5 linked regions of the Tribolium castaneum genome follow. The protein of the gene in region 1 binds, or shares a complex with, the protein of each later gene. Links are inferred from orthologs where the notes say so. Each region holds a gene or a part of one and is shown in the gene's direction. Other genes may lie near its edges.

What was found. The genes of interacting proteins can lie anywhere in the genome.
Region 2: Caf1-55 (region 1) and E(bx) share a complex: the UniProt entries of both Drosophila melanogaster proteins name them as parts of the NURF complex. The link is inferred for Tribolium castaneum from reciprocal best matches to the Drosophila melanogaster genes Caf1-55 and E(bx).
Region 3: Caf1-55 (region 1) and Dp share a complex: the UniProt entries of both Drosophila melanogaster proteins name them as parts of the DREAM complex. The link is inferred for Tribolium castaneum from reciprocal best matches to the Drosophila melanogaster genes Caf1-55 and Dp.
Region 4: Caf1-55 (region 1) and HDAC1 share a complex: the UniProt entries of both Drosophila melanogaster proteins name them as parts of the DREAM complex. The link is inferred for Tribolium castaneum from reciprocal best matches to the Drosophila melanogaster genes Caf1-55 and HDAC1.
Region 5: Caf1-55 (region 1) and E(z) share a complex: the UniProt entries of both Drosophila melanogaster proteins name them as parts of the polycomb repressive complex. The link is inferred for Tribolium castaneum from reciprocal best matches to the Drosophila melanogaster genes Caf1-55 and E(z).

The regions. Positions count from the first base shown.
Region 1 is NC_087399.1:660,670-665,840, reverse strand, and holds Caf1-55 (histone-binding protein RBBP4), read left to right. Parts: upstream 1-1,185; 5' UTR 1,186-1,323; coding exon 1,324-1,345; intron 1,346-1,445; coding exon 1,446-2,564; intron 2,565-2,685; coding exon 2,686-2,828; 3' UTR 2,829-3,005; downstream 3,006-5,171. Other genes in the region: tudor and KH domain-containing protein homolog, read left to right, coding at 1-208, 262-566; hgo (homogentisate 1,2-dioxygenase), read right to left, coding at 3,217-4,245, 4,292-4,558, 4,604-4,681. UniProt on the Drosophila melanogaster protein: Core histone-binding subunit that may target chromatin assembly factors, chromatin remodeling factors and histone deacetylases to their histone substrates in a manner that is regulated by nucleosomal DNA.
Region 2 is NC_087395.1:15,335,726-15,338,527, forward strand, and holds part of E(bx) (nucleosome-remodeling factor subunit NURF301), read left to right. Parts: coding exon 1-152; intron 153-262; coding exon 263-525; intron 526-887; coding exon 888-1,083; intron 1,084-1,589; coding exon 1,590-1,872; intron 1,873-2,802. UniProt on the Drosophila melanogaster protein: Histone-binding component of NURF (nucleosome remodeling factor), a complex which catalyzes ATP-dependent nucleosome sliding and facilitates transcription of chromatin.
Region 3 is NC_087398.1:7,908,206-7,912,276, forward strand, and holds the start of Dp (transcription factor Dp-1), read left to right. Parts: upstream 1-1,271; 5' UTR 1,272-1,621; coding exon 1,622-1,670; exon of another isoform or gene 1,671-1,851; coding exon 1,852-1,967; exon of another isoform or gene 1,968-1,986; intron 1,987-3,834; exon of another isoform or gene 3,835-3,982; intron 3,983-4,071. UniProt on the Drosophila melanogaster protein: Component of the DREAM complex, a multiprotein complex that can both act as a transcription activator or repressor depending on the context. In follicle cells, the complex plays a central role in the site-specific DNA replication at the chorion loci.
Region 4 is NC_087394.1:10,698,258-10,702,250, forward strand, and holds the start of HDAC1 (histone deacetylase HDAC1), read left to right. Parts: upstream 1-1,193; 5' UTR 1,194-1,376; coding exon 1,377-1,425; intron 1,426-1,736; coding exon 1,737-1,849; intron 1,850-1,903; coding exon 1,904-2,345; intron 2,346-3,993. UniProt on the Drosophila melanogaster protein: Catalyzes the deacetylation of lysine residues on the N-terminal part of the core histones (H2A, H2B, H3 and H4).
Region 5 is NC_087394.1:34,717,798-34,721,830, forward strand, and holds the start of E(z) (histone-lysine N-methyltransferase E(z)), read left to right. Parts: upstream 1-1,233; coding exon 1,234-1,486; intron 1,487-1,533; coding exon 1,534-1,960; intron 1,961-3,976; coding exon 3,977-4,033. Other genes in the region: UDP-N-acetylglucosamine transferase subunit ALG14 homolog, read right to left, coding at 1-199, 254-260. UniProt on the Drosophila melanogaster protein: Polycomb group (PcG) protein. Catalytic subunit of the Esc/E(z) complex, which methylates 'Lys-9' and 'Lys-27' of histone H3, leading to transcriptional repression of the affected target gene.

The DNA.
Region 1 (5,171 bases):
GATCTTGTCGCTGCTGTGTTCCAATACGACAGCAAATGGTACCGGGCTGAAGTGCTCAGTCTGAGTGACGATAACCCGCCCCAAGCTGAACTCTACTATGTTGATTACGGGGACACGGATTTGGTCCCCGTTGAGGAATTGTACGAGTTGAGGACCGATTTCCTCCGACTGCATTTTCAAGCAATTGAGTGTTTTCTAGCACGAGTTGGTACGATTATTTATTTATTTTTTTGGGCGTTTGGTGGGTAAGTGGGTTTTTAGATCCCGTGGGAGAGAGTTGGTCGGTGGAAGCCGTGGATAAATTCGAAGAGTGGACACATGTGGCGCAGTGGAAGAAACTGTCGGCGAAAATTAACGGATATTGTGTTAGGGAGAAGACGAGGGCGAAGCGCGAGGGCTCTCCGGTCCCCGGTGTTGATTTGTTCGATGTGAACGGTGAAAAGGACGTCGATATCGCACAAGAATTGGTTAATCAAGGGTTCGCTGTTTTTAAAAGAGACGTGGATTTGAGGCCGAGCAGTCGCGCCACGAGTGTTAGTAATATTAGTGTAGCTTCGAGTTCGTAGTTTTTTACCCAAATTTTTCGAAATAAATTTTTATCGCCCTGTTCCTCAAGTTACTTAATTCATTTTTACATTGCTCTTATTTTTATTTATTTTTACGTTTTAGGTGCAATTAATTATTTTTTTAATATTGAGTAACCCTTTTTTAAATTTTGAAAGTTTGTGCCTTAATGATTATCTTCAATATTGTGATCTTGCCCGAGATTCCATTTATATTTCGTTGAATAAACCCTCTTAAGTTACCTGAGTTTTTTTTTAACCTCCACCTCTGTAAGTAAACGTGCATTATTTAATAAATCCTAAAGTGTTAACTTGAGCTGAAAAATTAGTGAACCAGACTCAAGCTGCATACTCTATTTTTTCTACAACCTGATTATAAGTTATATTAAAAAAAATCACTGAAAATTAATTCAATTGTGAATTTTAAAGTTTTCGGTTCAACACACAATCGTGCTCATCGCTTTCAGTCGCATAATTTTTACTCCCTGTTGCCACGTTGGCTCTCAATTATATATTTTTTCCTTCTATTTTTTTAATAAAACATTGGAATACCATGACTATGAAGCATCGAGTTAGCTAAATCAAAACGTACCACCGCCAAAATTTTGGCCACGGTTTGCTTAATTTGAATCTGCTGACTTGTGGCGTTGTGGCACCACTGTTCCAAATTGGCGGGCTAGCGTCATATTTAGTGGACGGCTCATTCATTTTTACTTGAATTTATCAATTTTAACATTATTCGTTTGTGTTCGTTGTAACAATGGGGGATAAGGGAGACTCCGGTAAGTATTTTCTAGTTTGCCTCGCCAAAATCACGCTTTTTTTGTAACTTTGCGAACGTAACCTTAAAACCCGGTCAACTGCACAAAAAATCTTACACAGAAACCTTCGACGACGCGGTCGAGGAGCGAGTCATCAACGAAGAGTACAAGATCTGGAAAAAAAACACCCCTTTTTTGTACGACCTTGTAATGACACATGCCCTCGAGTGGCCCTCTTTAACCGCCCAGTGGCTGCCCGATGTAACGCGCCCCGAGGGCAAAGACCACTCCATCCACCGCCTAATCCTCGGCACTCACACCTCCGACGAGCAAAACCACCTCCTGATCGCCAGCGTCCAGCTCCCGAACGAAGACGCTCAGTTCGATGCCTCGCACTATGATAACGAAAAGGGCGAGTTTGGCGGTTTTGGCTCAGTTTCGGGGAAAATTGAGATTGAAATTAAAATCAACCACGAAGGAGAGGTGAACAGGGCTCGCTACATGCCCCAGAACCCGTGCGTTATAGCCACAAAAACCCCCTCAAGCGACGTGCTAGTGTTCGACTATACGAAGCACCCCAGCAAGCCTGACCCCAACGGGGAGTGCCACCCGGACCTGAGACTCCGGGGGCACCAGAAGGAGGGCTACGGGCTGTCCTGGAACCCCAACTTGAACGGCTATTTGCTCTCGGCCAGCGATGACCACACGATCTGTCTCTGGGACATTAACGCGACCCCGAAAGAGAACCGAATTATAGACGCGAAGACCATTTTTACGGGGCACACTGCCGTGGTGGAGGACGTCGCCTGGCACCTTCTGCACGAAAGTCTCTTCGGTTCGGTCGCAGACGACCAGAAATTGATGATTTGGGACACTAGGTGTAACAATACGAGCAAACCGTCGCACACTGTCGATGCACACACTGCTGAGGTTAACTGTCTCAGTTTCAACCCCTATTCGGAGTTTATTCTTGCAACTGGGAGCGCTGATAAGACTGTAGCTTTGTGGGATTTGAGGAATCTTAAGTTGAAATTGCACAGTTTTGAGTCGCACAAGGATGAGATTTTCCAAGTGCAGTGGAGCCCCCATAATGAGACTATTCTGGCGTCGTCGGGGACCGATCGCAGGCTGCATGTCTGGGATTTGAGCAAAATCGGAGAGGAGCAAAGTCCGGAGGATGCAGAGGATGGGCCTCCGGAGCTCCTCTTCATACATGGGGGCCACACGGCCAAAATTTCAGGTAAATTAATAATCTTTTTTGATATTTTTTTTTTTTTGTGTAAATAATCTTTAGTCGTATTTACTTAACGTTTTCGTAATTTTTATCAAAGTGTAATTAGCGTTTAATTTTTTTTCCTTAGATTTTAGTTGGAATCCCAACGAACCGTGGGTTATTTGTTCCGTGTCTGAGGATAATATTATGCAAGTGTGGCAAATGGCCGAGAATATTTATAACGATGAGGAGCCCGAGCAACAGGCCGATATGGAAACTCCAGCGAATTAGTCTAGTTTTTTTATTTATGTTTAGTTTTAGTGTTACCTGTAAGCATACCACGTTCTCGTTTCCTTTACTGAAGTAATTAAGTGAAAGTGTGACCATTTGTGTTTATCAAACTGAAACATTATGTTATCCACAATATTTTAAACATTTTTTACAAATAAATAAATACTTTGTCCAGAACACTTGTTTTATTTACAATCGTTCGAATTTTAATCATTTATTACCCGCTAACAGTCAACATTTCCGCCAAGTTTCATTAAAAAAATTTTATGACACAGGTCGAATAGAAATTGCATAAAAAATTATCTTCAATTCCTGATTTATAAATCAGGATTAAAAAGGCTTATTTACAAAAACACGAATTGTAAACGTAGTAATTTATTGAAAAATCTCATTTCGGGCCGGTAAAGTGGCTCTTGAGCCCTTGCCAGCACTGGTAGTACTCCGGGTCCAGCTTCTGGCACGTCTTAGCCCCCCACTTGGTGACAGCCAACCCCAAACAACTCTCAAACATGAAGGCCTGGGTCCCATCAGCCACTCTGGCCGGCTTCAAAACCTCGACACTTGCCGCCTCAAAACAATTAAAATCGGGCCCGTGCGGAGTCATAATACTGTGCAAAGTGGCCCCTCCTGGCCTAAAACTCCCTCTCTTCGCCTCATACTCCCCGAAAATAAGCCCCATAAACTCGGACATGCAATTCCTGTGGTAGTAAGGCGGCCTGAACGTATGTTCCTGAACGGACCAACGCGGCGGGAAAATCACGAAATCGGCAATTGCCGTGCCCTTTTTCTCAGACTGACACGTCAGGACGGTGAAAATCGAGGGGTCACAGTGGTCGAAAGACACCGAATTGATGACATTAAAGCGGGCAAGGTCGTACTTATACGGCACGTAATTACCGTGCCAGGCCACCACGTCAAACGGGCTGTGGTCTTGTTCACACACAAACAATTTGCCCTGGTATTTGGCCACGACTTCGTATTTTGCGACATTACGATCCTCGTAACATGCCACAGGAGTGAGAAAATCGCGGGGGTTGGCCAAACCATTCGCCCCAATTGGGCCCAAATCGGGGAGAGTGAAGTGTTGCCCGAACACCTCCAAAATGTAACCACGGGACGGTTCCTCAATTTCGACCGAAAATCGCATCCCTTGCTGGATGACGCAGATTTCGTTCGGCGCCACTTGCATTTTCCCAAACTCGGTCGTGATTTTCAAAATCCCGGTTTGGGGGACTATTAAAAAATCGCCGTCCGAGTTGTACAAACAGCGGTCTTTCATTGATTTATTAGCGGAATAAATGTGAATAGCTAGGCCTTGTTTGGTTTTGGGGTCCCCGGCCCCTGCGACGGTGTTCAAACCGGAGACAAAATCAACGTTTTCGCCGGGTTTGGGCAAGTCGAAGGGATTCCATCGCATCTGGTGGTCGCCAATTAATAAATTTAATTTTTGTGGCGGTTTTTACCTGATTAGGGTCGGGCTCTGTTTCCGTCCAGTTGTGCGTAACATTGACCCCTGGAAAGGGCGAAAAGGGCTTGTGTCCCACCGATGGTCGGATTCTATACAACCAACTCCTCCTGTTTTCGCATCTGGGTGCCGTAAAGGCGCTCCCGGACAATTGCTCGGCGTACAACCCATATGGGCACTTTTGTGGGCTGTTTTGCCCTTTCGGGAGTGAGTTGGGGCATCTGGGGTCTTCCGAGGAAAATTCGGACCCGAAACCGCTCAAATACTACACTGGGATTACAAGTGGTTACAAGATGTGGCTGTGGCTTACCTTGAGTGTGGACATGGTGTGATAACAGCTGGATAAAAACTGAATTCTTCTTTCGCTCGTATCAGCATAAAATATCATTATGTAAATGATTTAACTTGTTTATAAAATATCCCAACAAACATAATGATTGAGCAGTTTTCGAGAGGAATATTAATATTAATTAGGTGAGAAAAGGTTACGAGATGGGGTGACAATGAAAGAGCCGGTTAGAAATAATTTTTACTTCACAGAAAACCAAATGTACAGTCTTAAACACAATTAATGTTATTAAATGAACGAGATTATAGCCATAGCCGAACGCAGTTTTGTTTGTTGAATTCAGGTAATTTCATACACAGGGGGCAAACACCCTGTACACAATATCACACAATGTATAGAAAAAACGGACTGAACGTTTTTACACAAATATAAAGAAAGAAACTGCACTTTTTTAATTAAAAACACTGAGTATATAACTAGGACATGCATACCTACCTTGTAGTTTATGTATAATAATTTTGGTCGCGAATAGGGCAAACCTACCAAACCTCAGTACTCCTCGAATTTGATAATAATTTAACAAAACAGT
Region 2 (2,802 bases), on another chromosome or scaffold:
ACCGCCCGGAACTGTTATCAAATGTGTAACAGCACAGGTGATACAAACTGACTACGGGCCGAGGATAGTTTTGCAGGGGTTGCAAGGGGCCGATTTTACGGCCCAGCAGTTGGCAGCAGTGCAGCAGCAAGTCAAGCAACAACTGCTAAAGGGTGAGTCATTTTACTGTTAATATAGTGCTAAGAAATTTTGACTCAAGTTGTAAATTATTTACAACTTATTTTCTCTGGAGCTTGTGTTAGTTTTCGTGATGTTTGTTTAGCGCAAGCTTCAACCGGGAAGCAGGGTGTTTTGGGACCGACTAAGATCTATCTTGCCGTGCAGCCGAGCAATTCCGAAGGACAATCCGAGGGTGTTTCGAGTCAACCGCCTCCGCTAGCTCCCGTCCAGCAGTCTGTCGTACAGTCGGCGGCGACTCCAGCCAAAGGACAACAATCGAACATCGTCAAACAGACTGTTTCAACAGTACAGCAGGTATGCAACGTAACCCCCAAGCCCAAGGTGATAGTGCAACCTGCTAATCAGGTACTTTTGACTTGAGATCAATTTTAACCAACCTTGTTGTCGCATGGTCTGGCCTTTGATTGATGTTTTATTAATATGTAAGTGCGTCTTTGTTTTACTCTTTCGTCTACATTTTTTCGACGGTGCTTTTGCATGTGTTAATTTAAGAAGAGATTAAAGTGTGAGAAGCATGTAACTTATTCTTGTTTTTGTGGTGGGTGTGAGGCGGCTTTGTTCATGGCTTCACATCATTTGTTTGTACTAACACGTGTTGGAATAAAAGACTGATGATGAAACAGCTTTTTGTTTACTTTATGGTCCTACAAAAGTATAGTGCACGGTCGGTGGAAATTTTTCTCACTAAGTCTTGACAATCCTTCCAGACGAACGAAAATGTGACAACTTCGGGTCGTCAAGTGCTTGTCAATGGGCAGCAGTCGCAAACTTCTGCTCTGCTTCAAGCCATGAAAGCGAATATGGAGTCTAATCAGAGTGTCACAACGTCGCCACAGCAGCAACAAACCGCTTCTAGTGATCAGAATAAGCAGTTTGTCGTCACGCCTGACTATATACAACAAAGTATGTTGCTATATCAACCATCTGTAATTGTGTACAATCCTAATTGTACCACTTACCCATTGCAAAACGACTTCGTCAATCGGTTTTAATTAACTTAAACAATCGAACAGTATTTAGAAGAGCAAGGGTTCCTACTCGATCAAAAGTTTCCCTATTGTGCGTATTTTATTTCTGTGATATTTTCGTGTTTTTGTTCCCTAAAAAAGACTGATTTTTATACATTTGTTCGTTTTCGCTTATTTCATGTGACGTTACCGGAAACTTTTGAGGTAAATAAATTATTATAATCTAGTTGCAACAATTTCCATGCGATGATGTAAGCTGTACCTAAATGTATCCGAAAAATTGTGTAATAAAACTGTTACAAAAAGCGACCAGGAGTTTCCTTGCCAAAAACCTTGCACTTCTTTATTTTCAAGTCGTTTTGCTTTGGGTCTCCTAGTTATTACCAGAACTTCCCTCTTTTATTTTGTATTTTTCATATTTTTTTGTCTGAATTTATGCAGCTATTAAAACTGCACTTAAACAAGAAAACCTTAATCCCGAGATCGAAGAGAAACTGTTGCAACTCCAACGATATCAAGAGAAACAAATGAAGCAAGAACCGGACATTCCCACGCCAGTAGCCAAAGTTAACACTCCATTACCGGTCAGTAACACGCGCTTTAACGTTTCGCGCAAACGGACCCCGAGTGCCAGCAGAAACGACGACAGCGACTGGGTCATGGAGACGCCGAAGCGCTCGAGGCCCAACAGAAACAGCGAAATTAAAAAAATTGACGATATACAGTAAGTACAATTTAATTAGTAAACGAATCAATTACTCAAGCAACAGCAACTAAGTATTAAAAAAATGCAGTAACAACGGAATATGTAAAACAGAAAACCGATCGGTTTTGCCGTGTTTGGTAAATTGTTTTAATTTTAGAGTCTTATTCTGCCTCAAAATGTTACAGTTTGGATTAAAACGGCTTATTTCGGACGATTCTTTGCTTCGAAACGCGGAAACTTTTATAAAACAGATTGAGAACGTCTTATACTGTCTCAAAACAACGATTTATCGTACAGTTTAACTAAAAACGGCTTATTTTGGACGATTCTTTGCTTAGAAATTGGTTAACTTTTATATAACAAACAGAACACGTTTCAATCTGTCTCAAAAGAACTATGTTATAGTTTGCATGAAAACGGCTTGTTTTAGACGTTTTTTTGCTTCGAAACGAGAAAACTGTTATTAAACAGACTAAACACGCTCTATATTCTGGCTCAAAAGAACGAATTAAGTTACAGTTTGGATGAAAACGGCTTATTTTGGGCAATTATTTGCTTGAAAACGAGTAAACTTTGATAAAAGAGAAGGAAACCGTCATATTTTGGCTGTAAATCTTGAACTAATAACCACAAAAATTTGCGTTTGCTAAAGATGCTTTATTTTTTCGACAATTTTTTGTAATAAATATTAATGAATTGAAAATACTAATATTCATAAAACAATAAACATTAATTATATTAACCGAAATTTTGAGGTTTCTCTGTCATGCGTGTGGTCATTCTTAAATGTTTTGTTTAAAAAATACGTAAAAAAAGTAGAAACGTAGCATTAGCGCTTTGTTAAAAAATAATAAGAATTTTTTTAGTTTCTTGGTCGTATCATAACAGTGCATCATTCTTCTACACGTTTCTTACAATATTATCAATATTTAAGATTTTAATAAAAAA
Region 3 (4,071 bases), on another chromosome or scaffold:
TTCGAGTCGAAGTATTGGTTTAGAATCGACACCCAGGACACATTTTCATTTTCAGAAATGTATTTATTTTTACATAATTTTTGTATTTAGCAACAATTTTCATTGTTGTTTTAAAATGTTTAAATTTTCGTTTCTACTAAAATTGATTCGGCACTTTTATTCCTCTGAAGCCGCTTTAGCTTTTCAATAAACTGTTCTTTATATGTTACATGTTCGACAAATCTATATTTCATATGCAATATAAGAATACAAAAAAATAGTTTTACGGCTGTAAAAAACAATCAGCAATAAACATATTTATAAATACAGGGTGTCCGTTTGTCGTTTTTATTTCTGATTTCAACGATGTATCACAAAATATGATCAAATATTACATGCTGATCAAAATGGAGAAAAAGCATTTTTACGAAAATTGCTGATCATTATGTGATACATCGAATTGTTAGCAGAAATAAAAAAACTTTTAAAAAATGCAAGTATCAAATATGGCTAAAGTTGAGTGTCGTAACTCTAACATCAAGAACGTCTTGAAAAAGGCAATGACAGATTTGGATTTAAAAAAAAAATCCCCAAAAAAATATTCTACTTAAAAACGTGTATTTTTTTGGTTTTTGCTTTAAAAAATAAAAACAAAAATTACAAAATATTGATGGGGTCAATTCATAACGGTTTGCGTGTGGGTATGAGCTTCTTTCCTTTGCTATTCATGCTATGATGACTAAAAATTCAGTCAGAAGAGTATGAACAATTAGTATTAAGATCTATAAGAAGATAACAGGTCGAAAAACTACATTACATTTACCATATCCACACGCATACCGTCGTGAATTGACCCATTACAACAAATTTTGAGAGAAAATGTGATGTTGGCATTTTTATGGTTTCGAAACAGGTAATAAATAGTATTTTATAATTATTCTTTTACATTTGTGTTTACCGTATTTACTGACTATTTCGTCATTATAGTGCAAAATAGTATTTTTGCAGTAGCGACACCTAGCGAATACTGCCTTTCTAATAATTTAAGGTTCTGTCTTGCACGTTTCTGTCGATGGCCTGTTCGGTGGGTGCACCTTTCCTGACAGCCGCGTATTATTGAAACTGCATCCCTGGGTGTTTTTTCCGGGGCATTTGCCCGGTGTCAGGGCCTCGTGCGCCCCGTGCGGGGGCCGCAAGGCAAAAAGGCGCCAAAATATTTCGAACGCATCGCTCCCTCGTGCCGCTTGCCCGAACTAGGAGCAGCGTGTCCCACGTGAAGGAATCCAGCCAATGGGAGCGATGCCTTTGTACCCGCCGCCAAGCTGGTAGTGGCTTTCCTTGCACGAAATAGCTCATCTTCAAAAACACCCCCAAGTGTTGTATCGCAAGCAAGCAGTTAAAAAGCGCGAAATTAGCAAATTGCGATATTCGAGGAAACTTCGCGAGTTGTTTAAACCGAATTCGTGGTGCGCGGGGTCCGCCTATTTCAATTCCAAAATATCGCCTAGTTACAGTCGCCATTTTTGTTGGAGTTGGATGGAGAGGAGCTCGGATTTAAAAACCGGTGCTTTTTCGACAGTGTCCCGTTTTTGAGGAAATGTGCTAAAGGGGCGGCGAGTGAGTGTTTCGCACGAGAGGGAAAATGACCCAGCAGAACAGCACAACCAACTGGGTGATCCAGGGAGCCAATGGTAATTTTTAAAGGGTTCGGGGGTTTTTCCAAAACGGGGGCCCACAACGAAGTGGTGCGGGGGCAAACAGTTGCCGGTTGGGGGGCTGGGCGGGAAAGGACCGAGTTTCGGGGGAAACCGCCTCGATGTGGGAGGAAAAGCGGGTTCAGTGCACGTGTTTTATTCGTTTTTTCTGTAACAGGGCAGATGATTAAGGTGGTCCAGCCCAGTGGAAAGCCCATAAGTGGCATTGTGACCTCGGTGGCAGGGCAGCCCATGAAGATTTTCAAATCGCCGAACAGCCAGGAACCGCTCCAGGTATTCCACTCGTTCCCCCCTAAATTAATTTGTTTGTAGTTCGTTAAAGATAAGACGGATTTGTTTACATCTATTCCTAAGTTTTCGAACGATTGATCGAATTTTTATCTCGGGGTAATTGCACAATTCATTCATCTCTTTCATCTTTCTTGCATGTCTTTGCCTATTTTCGACTACTTCTGTTTTTGTTTCTAATTTATCTTGACCATAATTATCGCGTGTTTGTGTGGAGGTAGATCAGTATCGCCACGCATTTGTAATGGTTTCGTGAATTTTATTGGATCACAAAAGCAGTTAAACTCATAAGGTTGCGTCATTGAAGAAAAACCGAGCTTTTTACCTCTTGTAAGTTAAATATTTTAGATTGTTTTGTCGGAAACCGGTTCTCAGACCCCACCTTCAGTCACCCCTTTTTCTCTTAATAGGTACAGCAATATCTCAATAGTCCGAAGCTTTTCTCGTCCGAATAGGTTTTTAGATTAACACAAAAATCATAATTATTAGATAAATTATCGAGTGTTATCAACGCCAGTAACAAAACTAGTCGATTTAAACACTTTCTTGTCCTGTCCCTGTAATTGGATTAATCTACATCATTATTATTTCAAGGGAGTTATTAATTTCCACTACTAACTATTTTTATACTTGTGTGCTTACTAAAGCTTCCACGTTTCTTCTGATTGTAAACATAATTACTATGTTGCTACTGGTAATCCGAATTTTTTTGTAGTCCGAATCACCTTCGGATTAACGAAGTGTTACTGTACTATACAGTGTGTCCACTGTCCACCGCGCCCGGCTATTTTGAAGATGAATGGTTTTTCAAGTTTTGCTCAATATTTACCACGCGTCTGCGCATTTTCCACATCCAGTTTATTTTATGTATAACTTAAGAGTTCTTAAAAACTACTTTTCCGTTTTTTAGTACGTTTCACTTTATTATCGATAATGATTATTCAAATTGCTTTATTGAAGACGAGCTCATTAAAACAGCGGAGATAATTATGATTCTAGTCACAGGACAAAAAACGTCTACTTCTAATTATCTTGACCGTGGCTATCGGCAATTGCATTAATTTTTAATTAATAGTGGCCCCATAAAATATACATATCTGTCGCTATCAGATTAGCATCGCTATTGATTGCTACGTTCTTAACAAACGTTTGTTCTTTGATATCCCGTCAATAAAATTCCTAATGGAACTAGTGCGACATGGCAGATAATACCTATCATAAATCTGATCTTCCCATTAACCTGTTGAGGTATCCTTGAACCTGAGTTGAGACACTGCCAGTCTGCGATCACGATTTTTCCCAATCAAAATCGCTGGGACATTACAATCCAAGACCATGTTTGGGGCACACGTGTTTGATTATTTATTTACATAAAAAGCTTCAGGAGTTACTGTCGTGTTTGTTATTTCTGCTTGAATTGGGAATCCTGTTTGTGACAACTTTTTTGGCCCATTCTTGGATGTAAAAACGCGTTATGACTTCAGTTGCTTTAACGCGTAAAATTAATTCCTTTTGTTAAAGGGCAAAAGGTTCTTTCATACTGCGAAATAACGGCTTTTTGCGTTACTACAGTCCTTAATCTTTGCGATACATCATCCACGAAGGCACGCAACGGTTTCAAAGTTTCAAGCTTTATAACTTTTAACAACCTCAACTTTTATACATTATCGTCGATAAACGAAACAGGCTTAAAAATTATATCGAGATATTTTTAACCGGTGGTTAGTTGAATTCATTCGTGCGATTAGGTTTTCACATTGCATCAGTTTCTAGTGTTTTTACGTAAATGATTACTGTATGGATTTTTTACATAATTTAGATGGTAGTGGATATAATTTAACTTTGGACTTACTTTTTTTTACATTTACGCTTGTTTATATGCTATTTTAAGTAAGATCATTGTTGCACCTTTCATCCTAATTCGGTAGCAATAAATTTACGACTTTGATAACAGATAAGGTTTTCCTAGGTATAAAAAACCCTAGATAACAGTGTTCATGTCTGTTTTTAAGCCGAACGCATAAAGTGTAAATAAGTATTTTCGTGGATAGACTGGCAATATTTTCTTGATTGCTTTCAAGCTTTTACA
Region 4 (3,993 bases), on another chromosome or scaffold:
TGCTTTCTAAAAAGCTAGATTTGTGTTTAAAGCGGTTTCGCTGCTTTAAACTCTCAAATATTATTAATTTTTTTAAATTTATGGGCCGGTTTATAAAAGGCTCTGTTAAAATTGAATTCGTTGTTAAAAGTTAACAACGCGAATGAACCAACCAAATGACTTCAATTTGGTCACGTAATCAGTTAATCACGCATTTTATAACTGATTAAATTAATGACGTTTTTATAAACCGGTCCTATGATTAGTTATGATAATTAAACTAGTTTACAAAAAATTTTTTCTTTTACCAAGAAATAATTTATACTGATTTTGTTTTCTTCTCACTCACTAATAACGTAATAACTAAAATATATCTCACATTTGTCTATCACGTCTTGTTTTTTTAATATATTCACTAAAAGTTTTGAAAATATATTCGTTGTTTCTGTGATAAACTAATAGTTAAACATTGTATTTGCTTTAAAATATCGTCAAGTAAATGTAGATTAAGCCCAAACAACTTTTGTTTTTTTGTGGTAAAATTATCTTAGTAAAACCTGAAAAACTTAAAGGCAAGAAATAAGAATTTCTCAGTTTCGAATGTAAAGGGAAAAATGTTTAGGAATGCAACCCCTTAATTATTTCTAACTAAGTGTAAAGAAGAATTTAGAACTTGCTCTACTGAAAACTGCTAACCAATCTTCATAACATATAATTGTTGTTTTCTTCGATAAATAAGTTTTTTACAGTAGAGGCTTCCTTTTTCATGAGAATTTTTGTATGAAAAGCTGATTTTTGTTCATTAGTTAATGTGGCATTATTAGCGGTGTAGTTAGAAAAAACAGTTCTAAGGAACAAAGTTGTGGTGAATTATCTTCTACGATTCAGGTATTATTTAATTTTCCATTATTCGAACATTGGTAAAAAACCGTCTTCAACGTTTTTGGGACCCCTTCGGTTGAAAATCACAGCTTTCTTGATTAATGAAGGGTCAAGGGACTTTCCCTTCGTTAATCAAGGAAGCTGTGGATATGGTCTTAAGGACTCTTCTAAAGAAAAGAGATGGCGCTACGTAAGGAGAGTTTTTTTAAGTTAGGAGAATCAACTCCAACAATGAAAAAGAAAGCTTTGTTACGGCCTTAATGGTGGCATTACAATGCAAAAACGAAAAGAATCACCCTGTTTATTTTTTAGTAGGGAAATTCAACTTTACACTAAATCGCCACCGGTGCTAGGTTGGCGTCCTTGCTGCGGGAACAACGGTGCCATTTGCAAAGCGGCGTGTTGTGCTACCGCCGTAATTCTAATAATTTAAACAAATTGTTACAAAGTGAACAGTGATTTGTAATAATTAAAGCCAAAGTAATTAAAAACAATTTAGTTTTCTACAGTACAAGATGGCCACACAACCTCACAGTCGGAAACGTGTTTGTTACTATTACGACAGTAAGTAGCCACCAATTTCAGCCAAACATGAATTATTCCACCATTTTGGGGCGTTTGTTTTTGAAATTTGCCAACAAAATGCATGCGTTTGCTTAATTTTGTGTCGTATCGTGCTATCATGTAAATACGATTTTCGAAACCGTAAGCCTGGAAATTCACGGTAGACTACGGTCGCGGTATTTTTGCTCGGTGCTGATTGGTTAGCTTGGTTTATGATGAGATGATGACGCTTTTTTGTACGGTGTTACGATGGCGAATGTTATTAGTCCATCGTGAATTTTGATTCAATTCTGATAATTTTGAATTGTTAGGCGATATTGGGAATTACTATTATGGGCAAGGACACCCCATGAAGCCCCACCGCATAAGGATGACCCATAATTTGCTGCTCAATTATGGTCTGTACAGAAAAATGGAGATTTATGTGAGTATTTAATTTCCATGAATTGTTGGTGTTATTTAGTTTTGACTTTCCCAGCGCCCCCATAAAGCCACTGCCGAAGAAATGACCAAGTTTCACTCGGATGACTACATTCGATTTCTCAGATCCATCCGACCTGACAACATGTCTGAGTACAACAAACAAATGCAGAGGTTTAATGTAGGGGAGGACTGTCCTGTCTTTGACGGTTTGTACGAATTCTGCCAACTCTCAGCTGGGGGCTCAGTGGCGGCAGCTGTTAAATTGAACAAGCAAGCGTCCGAAATTTGCATCAATTGGGGCGGGGGTTTGCATCACGCGAAAAAATCCGAAGCTTCGGGCTTTTGCTACGTAAATGATATTGTTCTGGGGATTTTGGAGCTGTTGAAGTACCACCAACGCGTGTTGTACATCGATATTGACGTGCACCACGGTGACGGTGTCGAAGAGGCTTTTTACACCACTGACCGGGTGATGACAGTCTCGTTCCACAAATACGGTGAGTATTCTAAAAATAAGACAAAGGGGCGAAACGAGATACAAAATAACTCGATGTTTTTACCAAAAATTTAGTCCCCCAGAGCATCAGTGCTCCATAGCATCGTTTTGGTTTCATTTAAATTAATTTAAACTCAACCGGTTCACTATTTGTCTGAGAAAAATGTGCTGTTCTAGGGGAAAAACATTATTGAAATGTTTTTAAAACGTTGCAAATACGGTTAGTAAAATACAAAGAGGTGTATAAGTATTAAAGCAAACTGTTCGAAACATTTTTTATATGTCGAGAATTACTTAAATATTTTGTTGTAAAATTTTCTTCTAATACGGTCAGAAGTTTCCAACAAAGGATGAAAATTGTATTACTCTGAATAATTCAGCTAACTTAAAGTCGTTTTATAGATGAAAAGCATTTTTTTAAGAAATCTCATCGAATAAAGGCAAAGAATGTGTTTGCTTTTTTTAATACCTACTTAAACACATTTCTAAGGTAAAAATTCACTTTTCTTGCTTAGTTTTATATTACTTTTGCCTTTGTTTTTGTCAAAAAAAAAAAACAAAAATGAAGATCGGAAATGATTTTATTTTGGCTTTTTTGTTCTTGTTTTGAGTGATTTTCTTTGTTTTTTTTTTCACAATTGCTTTAATAACTCGGTAATTTTCTGAAATTTATATATTCTTTGGACATTTTTAGTTCTAGTTTTATTTATTAGTTTCAATCAATTTAACATTTTGCTTAAATAGGTTTAAAAAGGATTATCAGTGGACATCGAATATCCATTTTTGCCTTTCTTCAGCATTTTGATTAAAAACATACCTATTTCTCATAAATTGGTTACAACAGGACCAAAAATCATTAGTAATCTAAGCGAGAAACTCACTGTGAAATGACCACTTTTGTATGACTTCGTTAAACACTCCGAACATTTTCTTTATTATGATTTCGTTGTTTGTATGATTTCGTTAAACACTTTGAACAATTTCTTTATTACGTAGAAAATTACGGTATTTTTATTATTAAACAAGTAAGTATTAAACAAGTGTAAGATGATTTTACTTTTTTCGTAAAACTGCATTAAAACGCCAAAAATAATTTAATTACGTTTGAAATACCGGATTTTTATTTTAAATATGCAAAACTTTGTCAGAAGACCAATGAATGATCTTGATAGTTGTCGTTCCTTTCGGTGGGCTTACGGTGACTTGTTAAAACAAGATGAGAAATTATTTGATACGTCGGAAATGACGTGAATTTTGAGCGAAAGGTCGAAAATAATGTGAATTATTTTGATCAGTTTTTCTAGAATTGGGTCGTTTTTTTTTTGTAAAATTTGAAGTACAAATGCCGAACATATCACATAATTATTATTTTACCTATAATTAGGTATATATTATTTTTGCTTTTAAGCACACTTCTCACTTTTCTGTTGAAATTTCGCTCAAATAGAGCAAGTGATTATCAATAAAGTTATCGAATATTACGTCACTTTGATTTTTTTCCACTTACTCATAGTAATTCGCATTAATTCGCTAGAATAACAGGCCAAAAAAATCACAAATGAAGGTAGGGAATGACATTACTTTGGTCTTTTTCGCCATACATATTTATGTGGGAAACTAAGATTTGTTGCAATTTTGTCAATAAATGA
Region 5 (4,033 bases), on another chromosome or scaffold:
GCAAAGTCTAGGCTTGCCATAAGGGTTAGCATTTCAGTGGTGTGCCCCCCTGAACCAATGCAGATGACTGTCCTGCAGGGGGTTACTCTTTTACTGGACGCTTCGCGACTAAAACCAGTCGTTATCTTGTGGACTAGGTACAAAATCCTGGCCAGGATTAAAACGGCGATTAAAATCGCCAATTCAATTTTTAACTGATCTGAAAATTTAAAATTCGATTATAACTGTAAAACACGTTTGATTTTTCGGTTACCTTCCATGTCTCCAGGCTAGCTTCCTGCGATGGTTTCTGAAAAATGGAAAGTTATTGAAACATCAATTAAATAAGAGGACGACATAAAAATCCACAAAAAATCATCACAAAAGTCCCCAAATATATACCAAAATTTGAAAGCCATAAATTACAAAAAATAGCTTTAAAAAACTGCTGTCATAAGACCTTGAGGCAGTCGTTATTTATTCGTGCCTCAAAACTTATGAAAGTGCTTTTTAATATACAGTCGGTACCCTTTATTTTATTTTTTTTCAAATGTAGGTGATTTTTTTATCATTTCTCTTCAATTCCTTTTAATTAAAATATTGAAAATGATTTCAAAACCAACAAAAATAGTATCTGGAGATTCTAATGGCATTCTAAAGGATACGGTGTTTAAATGATGTTCTTTCCAGACAATATAATACTTTAAGAAAATTGTTAATAACCGAAAAAACATTTATTTGTTGTGTAGCTCACATAATAGTAATTAATTAGATACTATAACTTTTTCTCCAGCATCACACTGTACGAATATTTCATGATTTTACTCATAAATGGCAAAGCAAATTCAAATTAAGGTATTCTTAAACCATCACAAAGTCCAAAAATTGAGAATTTTTGAAAATTGAAAAATCAGGTGATCCTTGGCGATTGTTGAGTAGTGTAAATTATTACAATTAAAACACAATAAACCTATCATTTTTATCTTATTTGACTTCACTATCACCTATTACCTAAAATTATGACATCCTGTGGATTGGGCACATCCCTGGGGGGCCGGGGGTTGGGACCTGGGGCACGGCGTTCGCAGGGTTAGATTATCGGCAGAGCATCGGCGCACGCGCCAGTCGATGGTGCCTGTGCTTAGAGGTTATATTTTTGGTTTTTTCTGTGTTTATAGAACTCCTTCCGTTCCAAAATGAATTGACCCTTCCCTCAGTTCGCATTCATTGTTTTCTTTCTTAATTGGCGTGAAAATGTCGAAAGTGAAAGTGAGTAACGAATGGAAGCGTCACGTGAAGCAAGAATACATCCGTTTGAGACAACAAAAGAGGTTCAAAAGAGCGGACGACGTGAAACTAGCATGGAACCAGAACCGGATCAAAATGACCGAAAACCTGATCGCCGAGCAGAAGCGCTGGACTGAGAGCAAAGCCTTCTGGGTGCCCCTGCCCGAGATCCCCTCGCATGTGACTTGCATGAAAAAGGCGGAAGTTATCGGGAATGAAGGTTGTTTGATCCCAGTTGTTGTCTCCAAGATGCTATGTTAGTTTCAGGCGATATACAGGTCACCCCCATTCGGATTATCAACGCGGTGACTCCCATCCCGACCATGTACACGTGGGCCCCCATCCAGCAGAACTTCATGGTGGAGGACGAAACTGTCCTGCATAACATTCCATACATGGGCGATGATTTACTGGACCAGGACGGGACGTTTATCGAAGAACTTATCAAAAATTACGATGGGAAAGTGCACGGGGACCGGGAGTCGGGATTTATCGATGATGAGCTTTTTGTGGAGCTGGTGCACGCGTTGATGCAATACCAGGACAGCGACAAAGGGGAGAAAAAAGACAAGGACAAGGAAAAGACCAAAGAAGAGGAAAAGAAAAAGGGGCTCGATTTTCCAGCTTTTATTATATTCCAAGCGATTTCGTCGCAGTTTCCCGATAAGGGGGACCCAGAGGAGTTGAGGGAAAAGTACGATGTTTTATTATATTTTTTACAGGCTTTTCCAGCGAGTTGGTAATATTCATTTTACATTATACGTGTATATAATTTCACAGCGTGAAGTTTTAATTTTGAAACTCGAGCTTTAACGAAACTGGACGCTGTATAATATCTAACGCACAAACAATTTGGTCATTTTTCGATCAATTCACATTTCGAGCAGAAAAAAAAGTGTTTACTTTTTAATCTTCTCACAGCATTAATGAGTTCATTTATCATAAAATATTGTTCTGAGGTCTCTGAAAAATTTTCATGTTATTTTACCGCACTGTATGCTTGAACAAAATAAATAAAAAAGTGTAAAGAAGTCCAACAAAAAAATTTTGAATAACACTCATACGAAAACGCTTAAAGTTAAAGTATTTAGGTAAGTAACTCGCATCTGCTCGTTGCATAACGACAGCTACTCTTGTGTTTTCGCACTCATATTATTAATAACTTATATTAAATAATGTCAAAATAATTGTCCAGACAGTAGGCTATGTTTATCGGTAAGCTACGATACAAATATGCTTTTTTTTAATGAAACACTCGGCTTTTGGCATTTGGAAGTAACGTTTAATATTAATGTTTTTAAGGGTAAACTTTTATTGTTGTGCTTGTTTTTTTGACGAAAACACATTTAACAAAATAATTATATCAAATCCAAGAATACGATTAAAAAAAATCAGTTGAGTCAGATTAGAGGAGAAAGAAAAAAACTTTGATGTTTTGACATTTTTTTGAAAAGTTCCAGTCAAGAAGTTTTTTATTTTTTACTTTTGCATGTTAAAGTTTTTTAAGTTCCCTTTAAAACCACAATCATTTAAGTGCGTCTTAATAATTACAAAGAAGATATAACTTTAAACAAAAAATTGTATTATTAATTTGTAAAATAGTTAAATTGAACTACAACCGCAAAGAAAAAGGGCAAGAGGAGTCTAACTTTTTTTTAGAAGAACCAAAGGATTATGTAATAGAATAATTTATTTGACTGTTTCGAGAAATGTCTTGAAAAATACATGTTTTTTACCGTTTTTCTTTAAAACATTAAAATGTTACTTAAGTTTTCTCTGAAATAAAGTCGAATTGTCAATAATAATTGTCAACGTTTGAAAATTAACTATAATTTTTTTCGAAGCTCTAATCTATGCACGAACACAAATTTACAAATAGTTTACGCTTATTTCAGTACACAATATCATAGCCTAGTTTTTTGTTAATTTAAATAAATTCAAATTTAAACGATTTAATTATAAAATAAAAAAATAAAAGGTAACAGATAAACGGAGTGTTAAACGTCCTTTGAATGCTTTATCCCTGGTTGAAAAAATAACTGATGGAGAACTTATAATGAAACGATTGTTACACAACGTTTCGTCCACTATACCACATACATCATCAGGCTAGAAATAATACATTTGTATAAAAAATGGAAAAAAAATATTGTGCGACCTTCTTTGCGTGTGTTGAATCTACTATCTTTTTTAAATTCCATAATGTCATTTTTTTCCATTTGATGATGTCTGTGGTATAATAGACGCAACGTTGTGTAACAATCATTGTTTCATTAAAGTTTTCCACCAGTTATTTTTTCAATCTACATTTGAAATTTTGTTTTTAGAAAAACACAAAATAACACACAAATAACAAACGTTTTCACTTTTTTATGTTCTTAATTGCAGTGCGTTAACGAACTACTACAGTTTTAAACTTGAAAATTTCCCTTTGCAGTGGTGGAAACTGTGGCACTCTTAGTTTTTGTGTATTTCATTAAAAAAATTGTTTCCGTCAAATAAAATAACTACTGTAAAATAGCAGAATCAACAAAAAAAATCAACAAAATCATCAGTACTTATTGATAACTACGTTAAAAATACAATAAAATATAGGGTGATTAATACTTTTACACTTGAAAATAATTTGATTTATTACTTTTTTTATGGTACTTTACCAACTTCGCTGGGTGGGACCCTGATTATTTTTTCCCTAACTTGCCTGGTTTAGGTACATTGAACTGACCGAACGGACCGACCCCAACGCGCCCCCTGAATGCACCCCAAA